Linked DNA regions of Stegostoma tigrinum. The main gene of each other region encodes a partner of the protein of the gene in region 2 in a complex. Links are inferred from orthologs where the notes say so. Each region holds a gene or a part of one and is shown on either strand. Other genes may lie near its edges.

Evidence for each region. The genes of interacting proteins can lie anywhere in the genome.
Region 1: the proteins of ankyrin repeat and SAM domain-containing protein 6-like (region 2) and anks3 are in contact, whole or in part, in a crystal structure (PDB 4NL9), measured with the Homo sapiens proteins. The link is inferred for Stegostoma tigrinum from reciprocal best matches to the Homo sapiens genes ANKS6 and ANKS3. Residues at the interface, in NP_775822.3 of Homo sapiens: Glu796, Gln797, Glu798, Val799, Asp800, Glu802, Ala803, Thr806, Leu807, Asp811, Glu814, Leu815; in NP_597707.1 of Homo sapiens: Lys441, Tyr442, Thr470, Leu471, Phe472, Gly473, Pro474, Arg476, Lys477, Arg484.

The regions. Positions count from the first base shown.
Region 1 is NC_081376.1:31,370,823-31,378,641, forward strand, and holds the start of anks3 (ankyrin repeat and SAM domain-containing protein 3), read right to left. Parts: upstream 3,017-7,819; 5' UTR 2,832-3,016; exon of another isoform or gene 2,375-2,831; 5' UTR 2,357-2,374; coding exon 2,187-2,356; intron 1,412-2,186; coding exon 1,213-1,411; intron 267-1,212; coding exon 145-266; intron 1-144. UniProt on the Homo sapiens protein: May be involved in vasopressin signaling in the kidney.
Region 2 is NC_081355.1:20,773,826-20,781,625, reverse strand, and holds the start of ankyrin repeat and SAM domain-containing protein 6-like, read right to left. Parts: upstream 3,013-7,800; 5' UTR 2,463-3,012; coding exon 1,610-2,462; intron 1-1,609.

The DNA.
Region 1 (7,819 bases), on a different chromosome or scaffold from region 2:
TACACTATTAACCATTTAAATACAGGTAGGCCTGTTGTGCATTAGCAGATGTTTAATATTTGTGTGAGCAGTGAACAAAACATTGAACAAAGAATATGCTCTCAGGATGAAGGACATGCAAATCATATCTACCCCGTATCTTACTTTAGATTTGCATCAGCCCCATTATCCAGAAGGAACTTCACCATTTGCTGGTGTCCAGTGCTCGTGCAATGGAACAGTGCAGTCCAGCCTCTGTGATCCTTCAGTTCCAGTTCAGCCCCTTGCTGCTTGAAAGAAAAAGCAATTCAGCTCATCAAATCTCAGCCCTCTTGTGTCTTAACACTTCCAGGTAAACCCAAACCTCCAGTACCAACTGAAACCAATCCTTCGAGTACCCTAACCCTCCTACTGCACCTTAGTCCCTCCATGTCCAAAACCTTCCACTGAAGCCCAAATTTTGATATCTGATTCTACTTCTGCAGCTTCGTTTGCATCAAACATTTGCAATGATATGTCCCCTAAACTTCCCACTCAATATTAATATCCTGAACAATATCCTGCAAACCATCTTCTCTCCTCGACGTAGTCTGTAATCTTTCCTAATAGCTCAGTAGTTCTGCCGGATAAATACACCTATGATCTTGAGGTAACCATTATGGTAAAAAGAGAGCTGCCCTGTGCATTATACATCATCAATTTAATTGCTGTGGAATCATATACATCTGTTGTGGCTACATATCCAAGCATTCCAGTTCTATTGCCTTGTACACTGGCTCAACGTTCAGTGATAATGGGAACTGCAGATGCTGGAGAATCCATGATAATAAAATGTGAGGCTGGAAGAACACAGCAGGCCCAGCAGCATCTCAGGAGCACAAAAGCTGACGTTTCGGGCCTAGACCCTTCATCAGAGCTCTCTCGAAGGATTGGTTTCAGAGCTCTCCGATGAAGGGTCTAGGCCCGAAACGTCAGCTTTTGAGCTCCTGAGATGCTGCTGGGCCTGCTGTGTTCTTCCAGCCTCACATTTTATCAACTTTCAGTGATGTGTGTTATAGTCACAGTTTCCTTTTAATGTCTCTGCACCAATTCAATCCCATTCATTACATACCCAAGATATTCTGTTGCCTGAATGGTGCTACTTTATCTCCATCACTGTTTCCATAATCCAAATTATACCACTAACTTGCCCCAGACCACACTGCATAATCACTGACCCCAAAACATACTGACCTGAAGCAAGAAGTAGGCAATGCTCTCATTGCCACAGCTTGCTGCCAACATCAATGCACTCTGCCCTCTCTCTGTTGTCATGTTGACATCCACTCCTGCCTCCAGCAAGAGGTGAACAACAGTATCATGACCAATATATGACGCGTACATCAGAGGTGTCCAGCCTCCCCGGTTCTTCTGATTCGGGTTTACTTTTCCTCTAAACAAGGCAAATAACAAATCATTCCAATTTCACAGTCCCGCTCCCCCACACACAGCCAGCCAGGTCCGCACACAAACATACCAACCCCATCTGAGCCACATACACACACACACACACATGCACACACACACACACACACACACAGTGCCAGATACTTTCCCACTCCCCTGTCATACACAACTGAGCCAGGTCCACACATACACACACACAGACAGACCCAGTCACTAAAGATTCCCTCGACCAACGGGTACCGTCAACACCTGTCTGAAATGCAAGATGATAAGTTACAGTCCCTACAGTTTGACATTGGTTTTCACTTTCTGTAACTGTGTCAGGCACTAAATAGGGATTCTTATGTTGGGGCTAGTTTTGGCAGAGTGTGCAGGTTCCTGAAGGTGAGATATGATTTTGGATTTGTTGGAGTGTGTTGAACGCTGGCACTACTGATGAAGATTTCATTCTAGGATTGCTGATGTAATGATTTTCAGTGGAATTATCAACAGATTGATAATACTGACCATCAATCTGTAATCCACATAAGCACTTTCCAGCTGAAGTGATTTGGTGGATCAATTGACAGCATTCAGGTATGGAAGCACCTGATGTAATGATACATGAGGATTCATAAATCAGCCAGTTTAATAGTTTCTACAAGCAGAGTAAAAGTTAATTTGGAAGAATTCACATCTTTAAGTAAACATGCTTATGCTGGCTAAATTATTATCCTTGCACATTGGGTCTCACTGGCAACTAACAGTCTTCCTGCTCTTACCTCTGGATACACTCCTTCACCACATCATACTGTCCAATCGATGATGCCGTGTGAAGGTCTAAAGGGACATCCAGGTCCTCACAGCCAACTAGCTGTTCAAAGCCATGCCACATGGACAAGCTGCGATTCAGAAGCTCGGTCTCACTTGAGTCATCACTCAGCTCAGACATGCTGGTCTAATTTCCTTCCTGTACAGAAAGATCAGATCATCACGACACCTCCTTCAAATCACATGCTCAGTGGTGTGGGAATTCCTAGTCAGTGCAACCCTTGAAGGCCAGAGGAGGCAACTACATTCCGTATCAGTGGGCCTGATATTGTGCTCAGGTACTGATCACATCGGAGACTATATAGACGGACCATGCGGAAAAACAACCTCAATGACAAGTCATGCCTCATCTCCAAATACGAGGACATCGTGAGAATATCGTGACAGGATTAGAATGTCATGGATTTGTGAAGAACCATTAATCTACTGAAATGATATTTTAAATGATTAAATAACCTAAGGAGATTCAGAACTTTACAGTTGTCCCATCGGTGTGTAAGTGACATTAGTTGCTACAGGTTACTGTCACCCCTGTTGCTATGGGTTACTGTGACCCCTATCTGTGTTGTGACGCTTGTTGCTAGAGGTTAGAGTACCTAGGCCTCCTGCCAACGGCGCTAAGTTTTTTTTAATAATCTTTACGTCCATCCGCAAGAAACAATTGCGCCCCCCTTGCTCGTCCCCTGCGATGATCACTACCTTTTTTTAAAAAAAGTAAAAGTAACACCGTTGGACAGAAAATGGCTACCGCACTTTCTCACCGCTGCTTCTCTTCCGGCTACACAAGCATGTGACATACACCAGCCAATCATATACACATGAGGCCATATAAACAACGATAGGCAGGATGAATGCAAGAAGGTACTCCGCTGAGTTAAAGATCTCTGCTCCGCCCAGCAGCATACCCCTGCAATGGAGGACTTTCTTAGCTGTTGTTAGTTTTATATACCTTTCTGATCAATCTTATTACGCATTTCTGGAGTCGATGCGACTTGAACCTACCAAAAAGTAGAGACACAACTACTGTACCAGAAGAGTAAAGTGGTGTAGATTTATCTTTGTGCTGAACAATTTTGTTATTGCTAAGTTTGCATGGTCTGCTGTGGATATTTCGAAAAGGGACTGGCTGGTTTTTGTTTTATCTGGTTCAGTTGGAGGGAAGCTTGCTAAGAACAAGCTGAGTCAGGGAGAGCTTTCTAACAAAAAGCTGCCGAGCTCTTCTCTCTCATTTCTGAAAAAACTCTCTTGTTGAGTGGAATTTATTTGTTCTTATGAAAGAATGATTGACAATACATTGCTAGATTGTATTCCATGAGCAAACTGTGTTTACAAGACTTCAGAGACATGTATGATTTTACCACATATGCCAGAACATCAGAACAGTGCACATTGGAACATCTTCTGCTTTATCCTTTTCCCTTTAAGAATAACTCTTGACAAAAATGTTTTTCTTTCCCATTTTTCCAGATAGCCAATGTCTGCTGTTTCTTTTTCTCTTTTCCCCGAAGCATGCGTGTTGTGGAGATATTGAGAACGAGAAACATTTATACATCTCTACTACTGCCTGTGAACACTAACCAATTATTGTATCTTTACTAAATTACTTGTACTTTGATAAATTTGAAATTGTATTTTATTAAGCAACCTGATTCAAAGATTTTTTTAAAAATATGATATAGAAAAAGCATTTAATTGGCCATTTTGATGCCTGGAAAAAAGATTTCTATTATATGTTGTGACGCGTGGAGTAATGGGATCAGAACTATAATGTTCCTCCAGCCTTGTTCACAAGAAATTCTAAAATGCTTTGCAAACCAGGAAGTACTTGTATAGATTTTTTTTCAAGAAATATTTATTTAAAATATATTTGCTTCTGTAAAAATATATTATATAACTGCTTTGAGAAATGCATTTGTACTTGGTGTACTGGATGACTTGTTGTAATCGTTTGACCTCTACTTCAGCTAAGAGTGCTTTTACATGCAAGCTGTGGCAGCCAGGAAAGTGCAGCTGAATGGTGAACCAGATAAAACAAAAACCAGCCAGTCCCTTTTTGAAATATCCCCAGCAGGCATCTACAGCAAAGCAAGCAGTTATCACTAGTAATGTGGTGTACATTAAATCTTGTAAAAAGAAAATATCCAAAACAGTAATAAGTATTCAACTGAAAAATAGTGAATTTTCAGACTTATTACGGAATGAAACAGCAAGGAGGCTAAAAAAATACAACCCGTAGACATTGCCATTCAGCTGAAGATCCTGTACTTCACTGTATGCAGCTGACCACCATCCCTTAGCAATGGAAATGAATCGGTAACAACAGTTACCATAGTCACAGCACTTGCCATGGAAGTGACACACCAGGAGCAACGAGATACCAAACAGCCAATGTCAATGCACACACATAGCATTGAGAGAGACTTTGTAGGCAATGCTTGTACAAAACTTAATAGAAGTGTAACTGACTAGAGGTAATGAACAGTTCTGTTAATGCATGATAATTTTCTCTGATTATCTATAATGGGTAACTTTATGTACCAGAGATAGTAAGAACTGCCGATGCTGGAGTCTGAGATAACACTGTGTGGATCTGGAGGAACACAGCAGGCCAGGCAGCATCAGAGGAGCAGGAAAGCTGATGTTTCAGGTCAGAACCCTTCTTCAGAAATTTCTGAAGCATAATCTTCAAAGAAGCCCAAGGGCCTCTTTGTCAGGGAAGATCCCAGCACAGTACATCATAGGCAACTTCTCAATATAGTCCAGGCAACTGACCATGTCAGGCATCCTTTGGGTGGGTTTTCACTCAAGAGGATCTATGTGGGCCAAGGTCAGTCTATTGACATTGTTGAAGCCAATCCAAAGGGCAGCAATAATATGGTTAGGGAGATGTATAGATGGCAGTCAAGAGACTGGGCACATTTGGCCTGGGACTGTCCAGTTACCCCTTGGTTGAGGAAGTGGGCCACTGTCAGTCTGCCAGTTCCATTCTCAGAAAGTAAGTGGTTTGGACAGGTGAGGGTGAAATAGTGGCTACAGTCTTGTACCAACACGTTAGCCTTTGGGACTGGGGAATGCCCACTGTGCAAATGGTGCACTACAATCGAGGAGGGATCCAGCAGAATTTTGATGTGTGCCAGGTTGTAAAGCATAGCTGGGACATATGTTATGACGGAGGAGCAATTGTTCATGGTTAGTAGTACCCTGGCTTCAAGGCGTGGGCATGAATGACAAACCAGGCATGTTCACCTTGTTTGCTTGAGTCTGGGTGGAAAGGGTAGATAGATGTAGACGAATGTAGATGAGTTGGGTGAGGACTTGTGGAAATGTTAATCTGATGTTTTTGACAGAATGGGCCACTCGGAAAGGCTATTAGACTACACATTGACATAGTCAGGCTGAGGCTGGGAGTCACTGTAAAGTACTCACTATCACCTTACGTTACCCTTAAAATCAAAAATGTGCAATGGAAAGAAAATGGCTACAACCATGCTGAGTGGGCAAGGTAAGTGACTCAGCCTGATAGGAGGGGGCTGCAGCACACACTGTTCAGAAGGATTCTAATTGGAAACAACAAGCTCATAAAAGCCTAGTGCAGAGGCCGGACTCCCTGGCCTCTCTGCACTGTTGACCCTCTCTGAAGGTGGAAGCATACTGACTCAGCTACTGCTGGACAACTCTTCGGCAGCTACATCTTTGCAAATAGAAGGACACATTAGACATCGTCATCCAGAAGAACCAAAGGACCAGCAGCACCCAAAGCTATGGGGCCACACTGTTCCTCCAATTGTAGCTGATGTCATCAGCTCTTTTGCGTAAACCTCAATCCTTGAAGACTGTTATTTGGATTTGAATTGATACTGGAATGTGTGTCAATGTTAGTGGGAACTGCAGATGCTGGAGAATCTGAGATACCAAGGTGTAGACAATAAAATGTGAGGCTGGATGAACACAGCAGGCCCAGCAGCATCTCAGGAGCACAAAAGCTGACGTTTTGGGCCTGGACCCTTCATTAGAGAGGGGGATGGGGTGAGGGTTCTGGAATAAATAGGGAGAAAGGGGGAGGCGGACCGAAGATGGAGAGAAAAGAAGATAGGTGGAGAGGAGAGTATAGGTGGGGAGGTAGGGAGGGGATAGGTCAGTCCAGGGAAGACGGACAGGTCAAGGATGTGGGATGAGGTTAGTAGGTAGGAGATGGAGGTGCGGCTTGGGGTGGGAGGAAGGGATGGGTGAGAGGAAGAACAGGTTAGGGAGGCAGAGACAGGTTGGACTGGTTTTGGGATGCAGTGGGTGGAGGGGAAGAGCTGGGCTGGTTGTGTGATGCAGTGCGGGGAGGGGTCGAACTGGGCTGGTTTTGGGATGCGGTGGGGGAAGGGGAGATTTTGAAGCTGGTGAAGTCCACATTGATACCATTGGGCTGCAGGGTTCCCAAGCAGAATATGAGTTGCTGTTCCTGCAACCTTCGGGTGGCATCATTGTGGCACTGCAGGAGGCCCATGATGGACATGTCATCTAAAGAATGGGAGGGGGAGTGGAAATGGTTTGCGACTGGGAGGTGCAGTTGTTTATTGCGAACCGAGCGGAGGTGTTCTGCAAAGCGGTGCCCAAGCCTACGCTTGGTTTCCCCAATGTAGAGGAAGCCGCACCAGGTACAGTGGATGCAGTATACCACATTGGCAGATGTGCAGGTGAACCTCTGCTTAATGTGGAAAGTCATCTTGGGGCCTGGGATAGGGGTGACGGAGGAGGTGTGGGGGCAAGTGTAGCATTTCCTGTGGTTGCAGGGGAAGGTGCCGGGTGTGGTGGGGTTGGAGGGCAGTGTGGAGCGAACAAGGGAGTCACGGAGAGAGTGGTCTCTCTGGAAAGTAGACATGGGTGGGGATGGAAAAATGTCTTGGGTGGTGGGGTCGGATTGTAGATGGCGGAAGTGTCGGAGGATGATGCGTTGTATCCGGAGGTTGGTGGGGTGGTGTGTGAGAACGAGGGGGATCCTCTTTGGGCGGTTGTGGCGGGGGCGGGGTGTGAGGGATGTGTTGCGGGAAATGCGGGAGACGCGGTCAAGGGCGTTCTCGACCACTGTGGGGGGAAAGTTGCGGTCCTTGAAGAACTTGGACATCTGGGATGTGCGGGAGTGGAATGCCTCATCGTGGGAGCAGATGCGGCAGAGGCGGAGGAATTGGGAATAGGGGATGGAATTTTTGCAGGAGGGTGGGTGGGAGGAGGTGTATTCTAGGTAGCTGTGGGAGTCAGTGGGCTTGAAATGGACATCAGTTACAAGCTGGTTGCCTGAGATGGAGACTGAGAGATCCAGGAAGGTGAGGGATGTGCTGGAGATGGCCCAGGTGAACTGAAGGTTGGGGTGGAAGGTGTTGGTGAAGTGGATGAACTGTTCGAGCTCCTCTGGGGAGCAAGAGGTGGCGCCGATACAGTCATCAATGTAACGGAGGAAGAAGTGGGGTTTGGGGCCTGTGTAGGTGCGGAAGAGGGACTGTTCCACGTAACCTACAAAGAGGCAGGCATAGCTGGGTCCCATGCGGGTGCCCATGGCCACCCCCTTAGTCTGTAGGAAGTGGGAGGAATCGAAAGA
Region 2 (7,800 bases):
CTTCTCCTTACAACTGAAATCCTCCAATCCCAGCAAAATCCTGATAAATCTTTTCTGCACCCTCTCCAATTTAATACGAATATCCTTCCCAAAGCAGGCCACCCAGAACTGTACACAGTACTCCAAAAGTGGCCTCGCCAACATCTTGTGCAACCTCAAAATGTTGTTCCAACTCTTACACTCAATGGTCTGAGCAATGAAAACAAACATGCTAGATGCCCTCTTAACCATTCTGCCTACTTAGGGCATAACTTTCAAAGAACTTTGTATCTAAACTCCTATGTCTCTCTTCTACAACAGTGCCTAGAGCCCTACCATTAACTGTATAAATCTTGCCCTTGTTCATTTTATCAAAATACAAACTCTTGCATTAATTCAAATTAAATGTCATCTGTCAGTCCTCAGCCCATTGGCCCAATTGATCAAGATCCCTTTGTAACTTTAGATAACCTTCTTCACTGTCGACTATACCACTAATTTTGCCACCCACAGATGTACTAACCAGACCTTCTGAATTCCCATCCAAATTTAGGCATCGGTAGATAGATTTTTGATTATAAGGGGGATGAAACATTATTGGGAGTATGCAGGAATGTGGAATTGAAGTGAAAATCAGACCAGTCTTTGTCTGATAAAATGGTGATGCAAGCTCAAAGGTTGCTTGATAATAAAATGTGAGGCTGGATGAACACAGCAGGCCAAGCAGCATCTCAGGAGCACAAAAGCTGACGTTTCGGGCCTAGACCCTTCATCAGAGCTCTGATGAAGGGTCTAGGCCCGAAACGTCAGCTTTTGTGCTCCCGAGATGCTGCTTGGCCTGCTGTGTTCATCCAGCCTCACATTTTATTATCTTGGAATCTCCAGCATCTGCAGTTCCCATTATCTCTCAAAGGTTGCTTGTCATGTTGTGATCCATTTTACAAGAATCAGCGATAAAGGATAAATATCAGGAAGCAAATAGGACTAGATTAATTTAGGATACCTGGTTGGTATAGATGAGTTGGAATGAAGGGTCTGTTTCCCTGCTGTAAATCTCTATGACTAAATGTCATTGTTCCTCTATGAAAGAGCATAAATTATACTCATACATGAGATAACAAGGTGCAGAGCTGATGAACACAGCAGGCCAAGCAGTATCACAGGAGCAGGAAAGCTGACGTTTTGGGCCTAGACCCTTATCCTCTCACAAGGTTAGGCATTTCTTCTGATTTACATTTCATCGGGAAAGTACCTGTTATATCACAACACTATGCCAGTGCTGGATTTTGTTGGAGCCGAATACACCACCTTCTGGTTGGAAGTGTTGTCAATTTCAGCTACATTGACAAGATAATAGAACAAGATAACAAAGTGTGAAGCTGGATGAACACAGCAGGCCACTTAACTGTCCTCTGGGCAATCAGCGATGGGCAACAAATGCTGCCTAGCAGCGACGCTCTCATCCCGTGAATGAATTTTAAAAAGTCCCCTGTTATTTTAAGGTTGAGCACATATTGGACTGCAGACGTTAATTCTGTTTCTCTCTACGATGGTGCTGCTATTTCCAGCGTCTTGAGTTTATTGCAGATTTCCAGCATCTGCATTGCTGCCATCCCCTTCAAACCCCTACCTGATTTGGGCCGATTGGTGGTCTTGGAATCCAGGTAGTCTCTGATCTCCTTCTGCCTACAGGCGCAGGCGATCTCGAAGGCGGTCATCCCTCCCACGTTCGTCTGATTGGGATCCGAGCCTGCATCGACCAGCTGCTGGGCCACGGCCAGCTCGCCGTTGAGTGCCGCCAGCATCAGGGCGCTCCAGCCCCCAGCGCGTCCCGCAGGCGCTCCGGAGCAGGAAGCCCCCCATTCCAGCAGGGCCCTGACCAGCGGCTCAGCGCCATGTTGGGCCGCCACCATCAGGGGTGTCAAGGCGGGGGCGAGCGCAGGCTCCTGCCCCTCCCCCACCCGCTGCTGCCGGCCCCCACCGCCCGCATCCGGGCACGCGCCGCCCTCCAGCAGGGCGCGCGCCAGGCCGACGTGGCCTCCGCGCGCCGCCGCCGTCAGCACGCTGGCGCCCAGCTTGTTGGCGGCGTTGGCGTCGGCGCCGTGCTCCAGCAGCACGCGCGCTACGCCCAGCTGCCCGAAGCGGGCCGCCTGCATCAGCGGCGTCCAGCCGTAGCGGTTGCGGCTGTCCACCGAGGCGCCCTTCATCAGCAGGAACCGCACCAGGTGCTCGTGGCCGTGGCCGGCCGCGAACTGCAGCGCCGAGTTGCCGTCGTCGTCCGTGCAGTCGACGGGCACCTGCGGGGCCCTGAAGTCCGGGCCCGCCGCCTGCTCGCCCCGCTCTACCTCCTCTTTCTTCTTCTCCTCATCCTCCTCGTCGCCGTCTCGCGGTGCCGGCTCCAGCAGCCGCCTGGCGTTCTCGAAGTTTCCTTCTTCGCAGGCGCGGAACAGAAGCTGGTAGATTGGGGGGATCCCGCACTCCATTTTTTTTTAAGGCCTAGGCGGCAACAGCAAAGGTGATGCGTCCCGGTCGCCCATCAGCGTCCAGCCCTGAAGCAACGACATCGCTGCGACGTTCTTCTTTCCTCTCACGCCGGAGTTGGTCGCCAGTCGGGATTTGCGAGGAACCCTGATGCACGTTGGAACCGTCTTTCCCGTTACTATAGCGACCAATTGAGGTCAGTTCTCCCGGTGCTGAACCCTATTGACGGGTCGGTGCAGAAAACAGAAGGGCCGAGCCCAAGTAACCCTCCCTGCGATTGACATGACGAACGACCAATCAGACACCACCGTCTCACTCGTTTCCCCGCCTCCTTCCCGACTTCATTTGAAGAGCCCCGAAACCGCGCGATTCGCGGCGAGGAGGGACGAGGCTTCAGTACCGAGCGACACGTCGAACTGTTCCCAAAGGGCTGGCTAATAGGCTGTGCCGAATGACGCTACCACATGCGTCACAATGGGATTTCCCCAGGCTCTGCTTCTGACTATGGGAACCCCGCGCTCATGCGCGTCCCAGAGCCCAGCTGTACACTAACCTCAGTGATCGAGGGGGCTGCCGAACAATCTACGTGATGCTTCTGTATGCACTCGCTCCGGGATGAGGCTGGCTACTTTTTTGAAGTCCCAAAGCATACGAGAGAAATGGACTAAACATTCGGCAAATAAACCAGATGACCAAATTTATCACGCCTCTAATTTTTGAATGAAATAGTGTTTCAGGACCAGGACCTGCAACCCAAGTCTGATCTTGTGGTTTATTAGACAGCAATGGTGTCCGTGCTACTAAAAACTGAAGACGCTTGGGCAACCCACAGAGGGCAGTTTAAAGCATTGGAAAATCAGTAGAGCCTTGTGTAGTGGTAGTGACCTAATTTCTGAGCCAGGAGGCTTCCGTTCAAGTTCCATCAGCATGTGCAAAACATTTGAGTTGATCAGAAAATACCTAAAAATAGGGAGGTGTGGCTAAAATTACACAAGACATTAGTCAGACCTCACCCTGGACTATGTCAACAAATTTGATCTCCTTGCCTTGGAAAAGATACACTGGCATTGGAGACCATTCAGAGAAAAGTTCACTATGTTGATTGCAGGGATGCGGGGAATTGTCTTTCGGGGAGAGGTCGTGTAGTTTGGACTTGGTTGGGTAGCTGACATTTAGAAGAATGAGAAGCAATCTTACAGAAACAAGATTCTTGTAGAGCTTAACAAAGTAGATGAGGAGACACTGTTTCTCCTTGTGGGAGAGTTTTGGAGCAGAGAGCTTAATCTCAGAGTAAAGAAATTGCCTGTTTAAGACAGTTTGTTTTCTTTCAAATGGTAATAATCTGGAATTCTTGACTGTGGAGGCTGGTCATTAAATGTGTTATCTCGCAGATTGGCTGTTTCTTTGAAGTTGTTTACAGTGTTACTTGGTTCTAGTTAAAGGTTTTTTTTAAATCACGAAAAATTTCAATGTCATTATAAAACTTAAAAATGAAGGCACCAAACGAAAACGTTAAAGAGATGTCTAGCATATCTTGTCTCATTAACTAAAGAGTGTTAACTGTAGAAGTAATTACACAATTTTAATATGAATTTTATAACAGAATTAACTTTTTTTAAATTAAAAAGAAGTAATAAAATTTGATGAGTATGACAAGTGCAGTAAACGGTGGAATCCAGTCAGTCCTCAGAGGTGAGCGGGCCACGAGGTGGCCAGAGGAGTGCGACCAGTAACTTTGGAATGCAACATAGAAAGGTCCCAAAGTCTAAAGATTACAGTAATTGTTAAAAGGCTAAGGGATTCGAGGGTTGTCTATACTAATGCCCATCATTGATCAGGTGTTTTACAGGATTGGTCCTATTGACAGGAAGGTGAGGGTACAGTAACCACATTGTGTATGATCATTGTAAAACAAAATGTATAAAAATACTCCATTTTTACTGTAAAAATCAGCATGTGATTGATCTCTTTTCTGATCTGAGATGCAGATTAAGGGAACAATTGTGTTCTCATGTCCAAGCCAGGTTCAAGGAAGATTATTTGGCCCTCTCCCTGCATTAACTGGTTTTTGCTTGACTAAATGTCCACTACGTGCCTGAATCCTGTCTATCTCCTGAGTCTTTGTCCTTGGTTAGGGGTCACAGTCTTACAGCGTTCAAGGTTGAGACGGACAGATTTTTGATCAGGAAGGGTTTCTCGAGTTATTGAGATACAGCAGGAAATTGGAGTTGAGGATTATCAGATCAGCCACTGAACTCATTGAATGGCAAAATTGACTCCTTGAGCCAAATGGCCTATGGTCATATGTCTTATGGTAACACCAGTACCTTCACGTGAAGCTTAAAATCCCATGTCAAGCAAGTTCATCCAACAGCAGCACCATCTCCCAGGTAAACATGCCTATCATCTAGACCTTAACCCCACACAACCAGATCTGGTTAGGTAGAAGACAAAATTACAGAATGATCCCAGCACAGGAGAAGGCTTTTTGATCTTTCATGTGTGCAGAGGCATTAGCAATTTATCTAGTTCCACTACCTGGCTTTCTCCCTGCTCCCTGCAAATTCTTCCTTTTCAGATGATTACAGAATGTTTTTAGCACGGAAGAAGACCATTCTGATTATGCTAATACTCTGATGGAGAAATGCATAAAGTGCCACTGTCCTGATTTTTCCATTTTGGCTTGAATTTTTTTCAAATGATGTTACAATCTTGAAGGAGATTATTAACATTTAACCCCAACTCAAACTACCAATTATTATTTGAAAGAATAATGTGTCATAGATCCACATTTCAAACAAAAAGAACTCATACTGTACAAGAGCTAAATAGAACAAGTATAATTAGTTTAACACTCTATTTTGTAAACAGTTGGATTTTCAATGCAAAAATCTCAATGCAAAGTCCCTGTTAATAGTGTTTATGGGCAAATGGCCTAATTCTGCTCCTATATCTTATGATCTTTATTTCCACCCAAGTGTTCCCTTGCACGTGCAGGATCTAACTGAGTCTACACTTTTTAGGATTCATCCCCATAACCCACCTAATCTAGGGCAATTTAGCATGACCAATTCACCTAATGGGCACATTTTTGGACTGTGGGAGGAGACCGGAGCACCTGCAGGAACCCCACACAGACACTGGGAGAATGTGCAAACTCCACACAGGCAGTTGCCCAAGGCTGGGATCGAACCCCGGTCCTTGGTGCCACAGCTTTCAGGAATTCACCAGTGATTCTTCTCAGTTTTCCCACTATTCTCTAAGATATGAGATTTCTTGGAGAACTTCCTCTATCATTCAGTTATGTAATCTCCAAATCTTTTGAAACACTTGTATTTATGCCACCCCATATTTAAAAATGGGGCTGTCTGTTCGTTTGTTCAGTGTCTCCAAAACCAGAAAGCACCTCCATTTCTGATTGTAATTTGGATAGGATGTACCAAAGGGCTAAAAGTCAATGATGATATTCGAAAGCTGCACGACCTTGAAGGAGTCCAGTGAGCATTCCTGTATGTGCTGAAGACAGCACAATCGTGTTTTTCTATAATTGTTTTTTTCTTTGCCTTGCTGTTTGTTACACCGTATAAGAGAGAGAGTTTTGTTCCAAGTCACTGGACTTCACCTCGGATCAGGATTGCAGATGTTGCCAGAAACAACTCAGCCTCCAGACCAGCCCTCGATCAAGGGGACCCTGACAGGCATAAGGGCGGGAGGCTTATTGTTTTTTTCCTCTCTTTATCATTCTTTTTATTTACTTAATAAATGTTTCTTTCTTTTTCAGCTTTTATTATAACTCAATAAATGTTCATATTTAAGCAAATTGCTATTGTTGAGCCTTCTCTTAACCACATTTAACCGAATCTGAAAAGAACCACTTGGATGCACTGTGATCCAAGACACACTGTCATCCATGTGTGAATTTCCAAGCTATTTTTGAATTAATTTATTCAGAATTCACCTACTAAATATTATTGGCCTCCATATTTGTAGTTTTTTCATCACATAACTGTAGATGTACTTCTATTCTTAAGACCATTGCCTAGACTCAAACTTTTGTTCCTCTATTTGAGATAGTAATTCTAAAAGGACTTTCATTGTGTAAATAATTTATTCCCCTGTCAGTCAAAATCTTCTTTACCTAATTTAGTGAAAATCTTCTTAATTAAGTGATATCACTCAGATGGTGCTATTGCTCACAAGGAAAAAGGTCTTGTATTCCTCTTAGTTCTGGTGTTTGAATAGTTTGTGATCCTTCACTTTTCCTGCTTCCATTCAGAATGTTGATAGCTTCTTCATTTTAGACCTCCACCTCCATGTCACATTCCAACATCATGTCTTTCATACAACTGACATATAACATTCACTTATATCCTTTGGCAACAGCTGAATAACTAGGGGGTGTCGTGGTGGCTCAGTGGTTAGCACTGCTGCCTCACAGCACCAGGGACCGGGGTTCGATCCCAGCCTTGGGCAACTGCCTGTGTGGAGTTTGCACATTCTCCCAGTGTCTGTGTGCGTTTCCTGCAGGTGCTCCGGTTTCCTCCCACAGTCCAAAGTGCACATTAGGTGAATTGGTCATGCTAAATTGCCCTAGATTAGGTGGGTTATGGGGGATGAATCTGCATGGAATGCTATGAGGTTTGGTGTGGACTTGTTGACTCAAAGGGCCTGTTTCAACACTGTAGGGATTCTATGATTGGCAGCTCCTTCTGTTTTCAAGCTTTGCACCTGCTACTGCCCACAGCATTACTGAACTGTGTTCCTGACACCTGCTGATTCTTTCTCTTGCTGTGTAAATTATGCTAGGCGATCATAGGCATACATTTTTGCAATGATCACCGGTGATACATCAGCACTCTCCCACTATTCTTACAGGTCAGGCTGGTGTGTACCAATACTAATTTAAGACAAATAACATCATTCACTCAATTGCCATACAATAGAATGCTGCTTTATATGTCGATTCCAGAGATGGGAAGAAGCATGGAAGATGGAGAAGCAGGAAGAAATGAACTAAGAGTTGTTTGGCCATTTTCTCATTCTATTCTCTTGACACTGAACTTTCTCCTTCACCCTTCACGCACTGTGCAATAACCTAGAGTTCCAGAGACTACTCACCAAATTGCCTTCGTCTTCCCCTGGAGTAATAGTTAACTTTGTCCAGTTGGTCGATGCCAAAGTGTACGCTAGATGTGAGCCTCAGGAAATAATTTTTAGAACATAACATGGAACATTACAGCACAGTACAGGCCCTTCAGCCCTCCATGTTGTGCCGACCTGTCATACTGATCTGAAGCCCATCTAACCTACACTATTCCATGTACGTCCATATGATTATCC